Coturnix japonica: one gene and its partner. The protein of the gene in region 1 purifies or fractionates together with the protein of each later gene. This does not show direct contact. Links are inferred from orthologs where the notes say so. Each region holds a gene or a part of one and is shown on either strand. Other genes may lie near its edges.

What was found. Proteins that work in one complex are often made in the same cells at the same time.
Region 2: the proteins of PAK1 (region 1) and GIT2 purify together in Homo sapiens (affinity purification with mass spectrometry; 5 studies listed by BioGRID and IntAct, with this or other methods). This does not show direct contact. The link is inferred for Coturnix japonica from reciprocal best matches to the Homo sapiens genes PAK1 and GIT2.

What each region holds. Positions count from the first base shown.
Region 1 is NC_029516.1:172,845,825-172,849,468, forward strand, and holds part of PAK1 (serine/threonine-protein kinase PAK 1), read left to right. Parts: intron 1-999; 5' UTR 1,000-1,020; coding exon 1,021-1,210; intron 1,211-3,644. UniProt on the Homo sapiens protein: Protein kinase involved in intracellular signaling pathways downstream of integrins and receptor-type kinases that plays an important role in cytoskeleton dynamics, in cell adhesion, migration, proliferation, apoptosis, mitosis, and in vesicle-mediated transport processes.
Region 2 is NC_029530.1:6,002,690-6,006,872, forward strand, and holds the start of GIT2 (ARF GTPase-activating protein GIT2), read right to left. Parts: upstream 2,808-4,183; 5' UTR 2,711-2,807; coding exon 2,659-2,710; intron 487-2,658; coding exon 353-486; intron 2-352; coding exon 1-1. Other genes in the region: ANKRD13A (ankyrin repeat domain-containing protein 13A), read left to right, coding at 3,125-3,276, 3,935-4,013. UniProt on the Homo sapiens protein: GTPase-activating protein for ADP ribosylation factor family members, including ARF1.

The sequences.
Region 1 (3,644 bases):
CATGCAAGTGAATTTCAGTCTCTGGAAGGATCTCTCTGCAACCTGACTTCTGAAGTCAGGCTGATCTCATTTGGGTGGAACAAGCTGGTTGCTGCAGAGGAATCTATTACCCAGTTCACAAGCTTCCGTCTTTAAATCCTCACAGCAGGGTTTATTTACTTAGAGATTAATGTGTATATTGAGGATCAGTGTTCTGGCTGTCTGAATTGTGCTTCAAGTATGCTGCTATGGCAGGAAGGCCGGGGCCCAGCAAACACTGCAGGACTTGACATGGAGGTGACACGGATGCAACACTGATGCTTTCTGCCCATCTCCCTCTGGTGCATTTCAATGCATTTTCAGTGATGGAGCCTGAGTGGCTGTATCCATGCTCTTTGATTGCAAACTTCAGTCCCTGTGCATCATGTTACTGCCTGAGCTGGAGGTTGATGCAAACCTGTTGAGGCAGATTTTGGCAGAGCTAGAATGGATCCGAGAGGTCTTATTTGGAAGAAGGTATTTCTGACAAAGTATTTGTCATAGATGGTGGATTCGCTGTTCTTGGAGGAGTTCAAGAACTGTGGATATGTGGTTAGTGGACATAGTGGAAATGGGTTGGCAGTTGGACTTGATGGTCTTAGAGTCTTCCGGCCTCAATGGTTGTAAGATTATGTTGGCTGCTGTCAGATATCCCTGCTCTCTGCTACCTGGGATTTGCTGCTTTTTCTGCTCACCCTCACCCTACACTTCTGCTTCATGTTATACTTGAGGTCTGGCTGTACCCCGCAAACAAGCTTTTTGTGATAATTAGTAACTGAAACTCTTCAATATAATAGAAATGATTGGGATCTCAAGTGGAATGTGTGCTGACGCTTTGCATTGGTGTGAGGCTGCACGTTTGTCTGAAAATACCTGTGTGTGGTTTATTTGACAGCATGTGATTCTAATTTACAAAAAAAACCCAACTCTAACTCAACAAACCACAAAGCTTCTTACTTCTTTTTCTTCCTCCTTTGCTAGTAACGGCCTCTACATCTGAAGATGTCTAACAATGGAGTTGAAACAGAAGACAAACCACCTGCTCCTCCGATGAGAAATACCAGCACTATGATTGGATCAGGAAGCAAAGACACCGGGACTTTAAACCATGGCTCAAAACCTTTGCCACCCAACCCAGAAGAAAAAAAGAAGAGGGACCGATTTTACCGATCTATTTTACCAGGAGATAAAAGTACAGTATTGTGGCTTTCCTTATAAAACTTATGTCTCAGTTTTGCTCTGGATGGCTGTTGCTTAACGATGGTTTGGAAGATGGCTCATGTTCATTTCTTGCATAGCTGTTGTTGTCATTTTGGGGTATATGTGATGCTGGCTCTAGTTCTGTTTTCTTATCCTAATGATTAATTCTACCACAATTAATCTATCCCTCTTAATCTGCTTTTGTGCTTTTCTTCCCCTTTAATTATGAGAACAGCATCCCTAAAAGACGGGACAAGCTCTGCCAGCTCCTAGCATGACTTATCCATAATGATTTTGAAAATCATATAAACCTTGTGTTCCCAGTTACAAGCTGATGAGTTAAAGCTGCAATTGTCAGTTCCTTTGGTGGGGAAGGGGAAGCTTTTTGCCTGTTTCTTGTTACAGCAAGTATGTGTAAAGCATGAGTAACAGTCCATTTCCTGCCAGGACTGTCACATGTTACTGCATGGTCTGCTGTAACAAGCTTACAGTCGAAGGTGTAATTTCTCATTTATTCTAGATTTTGTGTCATGATTTTTCTACTTGCTGTTACAAACAATTTCTCACCACAAATTCTTGCACGTTTCTTGTGAAGGGAAGGAATTGTCTCCTGTTGCAGACACCGTAACAGATGGAAATGGAGAGAGAAGCTGTGAATTGAAATTCTAAATCATAATGATGTCGATAATTTCCAAACTCTCTCATGAATCTTAAAGTAATATAAGAAAAAAAAATCTCTATCCTGAAGTATCTACTGATTCCTTTTTATATCTGACCTATTTATTTTTTTTTGGACTTCTCTTTCTAGTACATCAGAGTCTGCATTGCAATGGTGTCTGGACATTGGATAACTGAAAGTCTTAAGTACCTGCAACTTGCTTGCCTTCATGAAGGAAGCTGCCTCCTTGATTTTTTGTTACAGAACAAAGTCTAATTGGTGTGCTAATTTAAATCACAGAGATAGAAGTTCAGGGAGAACTTGGATTCGTTTATAGCCATTGATTTTTTAATTCTGCAACCCAGGAACCCGTGAACTCTATTAAACATTTGCAGGATACTGGTTAGAACTTGCCTTTATGTGTATTAATCCTGAAGAACTGTAAGATTTTGGTGTCAGCAGAGTGTTTGTAAGACCTTTAGGCTCAACAGTTGCAGAAAACAAAGAAATAACCTGAAATGTTGAAGATGAAAATAAACATGACATTAAATACTGTAGAATATAAAGGAGATATGGTAACTGAAATGGTAAACAGCTCAGGTAAAAGAGATACTACCACTGATATTAAGCTTTAAGCCTGCACATCCTGAAGTTTGGCCAACATGGCAGATGCTTTCAGACATGAGAGATTTTTGTCTAGCCAAGCCCAACAGAGCCTTCTGTTGCAATGCATCTGCCCAAACTAGAACGACTGCTTCTGTCCTACAATTCTTGTCAAGCAAAAATTAGCTTTAACACCATCACCTCCACTTCTTATTGGCTGATTTTCACCTTAGGAACGTTTTTCTGATCTCAGATGACAACTAAATTCTCTCCTGCTGCTTAACTGCTCCTTACCAGGCTGCTTTGGAAGTGCCATGTTCTCTCTGCAATTGGAAGGTGTAGTTCTAATGTCCCCTGTCCCAGCCTAACCCTTAACTTTAATACTGGATGGAACCTCTCCAAATGCATGCTCCCGTGATATCATATTAGCAGGAGCTGTGACCATTCAAGTCTTTCTGGTTTCAGTCACTTCTTGGGGTGTATGAACCAGGCAAACATGGCACATTTTGTTCTGCTGGTGTTTGCTGAGCTCTGCTGCTGATTCACAAAGAGCCAGAGTAGTACCACGAAGTAATGATGTATAGTGTCTATGAGCCCTTTCCATGCTGGTTTCACTGCTGCAGTTGTGTGGGTATCTTGCATCTTCGGGGCTTTTTGACCCACTACATGGATAACGTGATCACTATAGATGGGGAGTACATGTTCAGCGAGACTGAGTGCCCATCTCTTTAGTTCTTTTCAGTTATATGCCTCCTACCATGTAATACATCTCTACCACAGAAAGCAATTATTAATGTTTGAATGCATTTAGGCTTGTAGGTCTGTTAGATTTTGCAACAAGAGCTTGTGGAAAGCATTGTCTTCTGAGAATTTTGGAGGAATGCTTCTGAATTCATGTGCCACCTTCATGTGCATTCACATGAGGCTCTAATTCAATCTGGGCACTGCAAAACCCTGAAAGAGGCATTCAGGCAGATTTAATAAAGTATACAAGAAAACATTTGTGGATTCACTGGCTGTAACGTTATATCTAAGGCAGAGTGATTTTAGCAAGAGTTATTGAGAGTCAGGAGAAATGCAGACAGTTGAGAATCTGTCGGAAGTGGTTGCAAGAAACTGTAAGGTTGTGGGGAGAGCATTAACTGCTGCTGTGAATGCAGAAAGC
Region 2 (4,183 bases), on another chromosome or scaffold:
TCTGAAATACAAAATATATACAGGCAGGAGTGAAGAACTTAGCTGCTAGCTGCACAGATTGACTCATCAGAGAGCTGTGAGTATTGTGAACCCAGCAGCAGGATGGCACTGACTCATATTCTGTATAGCAGTGCCTAAAACCCACTGGGGTGTCAAAGCCCAGCTGATGTTTAGGAGACTGTTGTGTGGAATGTAATATGAACCCCCTTAAAATTCTCTCTCCTTCCACATGAACATCTCTACCAAAACCAATGCTGAATATTTAGGTTGAAGCAGATATATATATACATATATAGAAACACCACAAAGAAATTCTAGCTTTAGTAAAGGAGGAGATGTCATTGGTCTTTACCTGCAGCAGTGTTGGAGGCCATGGTGTGTGCTTGAGATGTCTCACTTGAGAGATATGACGCCCCAAACTCCGGTGAACGCTACAGCACTCATCGCAAATCAGAATTCCCCTGTTTATGGATGCCCAACAAGGATCTGAAAAAAGAAGACATTTATTACAACCACAGAAGGCAAGGCAGCTTCTTATTTCAGAGCGGAAAATGACTTTGTGTTTTAGAACTCAGTGTTTTAACTTGAGATTTACTGCTCTCAGAAGCAAATCCAGTTTCTGTCAGTGACAGAAGAGGCTCCGTGGGCCAAGAACCCTGCAGGAAGGAAAGTGAGCAGCAAGACATTGTCAGAGCTGGCACAGTGCAGGAGGAAAAAGGAGTTCAAAATCTCTTCTGTTTTGGAAAACCTACTTAATTCCAAATCCAGAGCTGGGTTTAAGGCTGAATGAATACAACACAAGCCTGTATCTGATGAGAGATCTTCTGCATCGTGTCAGAATACATCTAAGCAATTGTGCATCACACAAATATCCTGCTGTGACCCGTGCAATAAATATAGTGAATCCATGAAACGTGAGATCTGATCACTGATGTGGTTTCTGAGCAGAGCTGATGCTGTGTGTGCTGAAGGCAACGCAGGCAAACCCACGGCTCACAAGGGAAGGCAGCATCTACTCGTAGATGATAACTATCACATAGCCCAGAGCCAAACTGAAGTGCATGGTGTAGGAAAAAAAAAACCTAATCTAATTTAAGAAACAAAGTAATGAGGAGTTTGAGTGCTTGTTATTAAACCATTCCACTATTTTTACAACTTTCACTTCTAAGAGAGAAAAACAGAACAACAAAACAAGCTTTGTTAACCCCAACCCAACGAGCCAAGGCTGGAGGCATCCTTCAAGACTAACGAGCCTCATCCCTTTTTATTACAGACATCATCATACACTCATTCATACATCGTGATCTTCTGAAAGCCACTGTGTTCCTGGTTTCAGTCACGAGCTGCTCGTTCAATATGCACCGTAACCAACCCCGTTCAGCTACAGCAAAGCAAGCTCCTGTTTATCTGATCATTCCACAGCAGAATGGAAGCTTCAGCATCCCTCTGAAGAGCAAAGCAGAAGCCTGGCTGGTAATCTGAGCTCCCACACAAGGCTGGTCAAACAGCAGCAGGAGCTCAGCGCTGCAACCTGCTTTCAAAGTCACGGTGGTTTAATCAGAAGTGGAGTTTTAATTGAGGTACATGAAGATTTGTGGGCTCCCATTCAGTTCAGACGTGGCTCACTGCCAGTTACTTGCTCTCAAGTAACGGATGGGGACCGGAAAGGGAACAATATTGGTTATGACAGAGGGCTGTCAGGTTATAGGAAGACTTATTTCAGGTTTAAGTTAAATGTCTGCGTTGGAGTTTAGTCTGTTTCTAAAGGCAATACAGGTACAAACGCAACGCAAATACACTTACACTGATGGCGGAACACAAGAAATACTCAAAAGATCTCTCAAGTTTGCTTTCAGGAACATGGCAGAGCGCTTCAAAACAGGAAGCGTGCAAGGACAGGCGTGCTCTGCGGGTACGAGAAGTGAGCTCCTGCCCCAGCAGCATAGGAAGTGTAACAGAAAAGAGCATGTCAAACTCTCCTTGAGCACAGCACGACCACTTGTGGTCCTAAAGAAGCAAAGAGAAGTTGGGGGAAACCCCAGAAGACAACCTGGCTCAAATGAAGAAGATCCTACCAGCCCTACAAACTCTGCTTTCAATCAAAGAAGGGGTTTGTTCAGGTTTTTGGGTTGTTTTGTGAAGAAAGGACTAAGCTTTTGTTACACACATGGCTAAACCAGCAGGCTTCTCTATGAGCATCAGATCTGACGCTGTCATGCAGCACCCAACAACACACAGAGCTGTGACCCTGCTGTGTGCTGGCTGCCCTGTTGTACTGTGTCCAGGTGTAGAGCCCTCAGTACAAAAATGACATGGAGATTTTGTTAAGGGTCCAGAGGAGGGTCAGGAAGATGATCAGGGGGCTGGAGCACCTCCCCTATGAGGACAGGCTGAGGGAGTTGGGTTTGTTCACCCAAAACAAAAACCAGTCTCTAACACAGGAACACCAGCACTATAAATAAGCAGAAATAGGGACTTTAGACCCTCATTTTATACCTTTATTCCCCACACCCCCTGTCAGCACAGCGCCCATCCACACAGCGGCACCTGCCCTCCTCTCCTCAGTGCAGGGGGGTGGGGATGCGGACGGGCCCTGCCGCCCCCTCCTCTCGTCTTTCCCCTTTATCCCCCTTCTCCCCTCGGTTCCTCCGGCCTTACCCTGCGCACTGCAGTCCGCACACACCTCGCTGCTCCTCAGCCGCTTCGACATCGCTGTTCGGATCGGGACCGGCCGCTTCCTGCCGCGCTCAAGGGGCCGCCTCAGCCCCCGCCGGGCGGCCGAGCCGAGCGCGTAGTGCGCATGCGTACGTCAGCACCGCACGCTACGCCGCCGCTCGCTATTCACGAAGCATTTTACGCTAACGTGAGAAGCCAGGCGGAGCTGCGCTGCCGTAGCCGTCGTATCGCCCTAACTTAAAATGGCGAATAGAGACACTGCCCTCACTCGCAATGGCTGCGTGTCTTCCGTATTTCCGCGGTAGAGCATGCGGGCGAAACCAACGCTGCCCAGAGGCGGGGGGGGATGGTGAGAACAGGGCGGCTCGTCAGTGTTACGGCTCAGAGGTTCCCCCCCTTGAGAGGTAAAGCGATGGAGGAGCCGGCGGGCAGGACGCCCTGTATATAAATGGGGGGAGAGCGGGGAATTGAGACTTCCGCTTGTGTGAGGGTCTGTGGGCTGCAGCGGGGAGAGAACGGGGCCCTATTGAACGCAGCTGCCGTGCTGTGGGACGGCCCTACCGCTGCCCTGGAGGGAAAGGAAGGGGCCAAGGGACGGGGGTGAGGAGACGGCTTGGGTGGGAAAGGGGCTGGGGTGTGAGGTGGGGCCTAAGGATGGGGGGAGCAGGGCACTGGGAGCTGGAGACTGAGGGATAAGGGTGGGGAATAGGAGTGAGGGTCTTAGGGAGGGCACCAGGAATGGGGACAGAGGGGGGTGGGAGCAGAGCCCTAAGGCTGAGGGACCTGGGGGGGAAGGGGGAAGAAAGAGGGGGGGGAAGGCAGAAGCTGAGGTGTAAAAGGGACCCCAGATATAGGAGAATAAAGGGGACTCCAAAAACAAGGGCCTGAGGAAACGGGGGGGGGCAGGAGTGGGGGATTCAAGGAGAGCTATAGGTATGTGGGTCTGAGAGAGGGGATGGCCATAGGGATGAGGGGTGGGGGGCAGAAGCTGAAGCCTAAAGGGGATTAAAGGGGAGCAGAGACTTGAGGGAGGCCATAGGGATGGTGGTTTGGGGGGGGGGGGGGGGGGGGGGGGGGGGGGGGGGGGGGGGGGGGGGGGGGGGGGATAGAGGTCTGAGGGGGTCAGTAGGAGCAGCCCCCCCCCCCAGGGTGTGGGATTTTGCATGGGGTGCCCCTAAACAAAGCAGGGGGTGGTGAGGGCAGGCTGCCTGCTTCCCCTGCTCCTGCAGGTGCGTGGCATGATGAGTTCCCCCGGCAGGGCCAGCGCTGCGTACCCCCTGCATGTCCTGGTTTGGAATAATGATTACCAGCGGTTGGATGAAGAGCTGCAAGAACAGGTAACTGCTGCCTTCCTGGGCAGAGAGAGCCTTGGCTGTGCCCCGGGTCTGTGCCAGGCTGGTGGGACTGTTTTCCTTCTGCACCTGTCTGTTTGTGGGTTTGAGAGTGAGGTAAGAAGGTATAGGGATGTGATGGACTTTCACTGTTTATCTGAGCAAAAAGAAGCAGC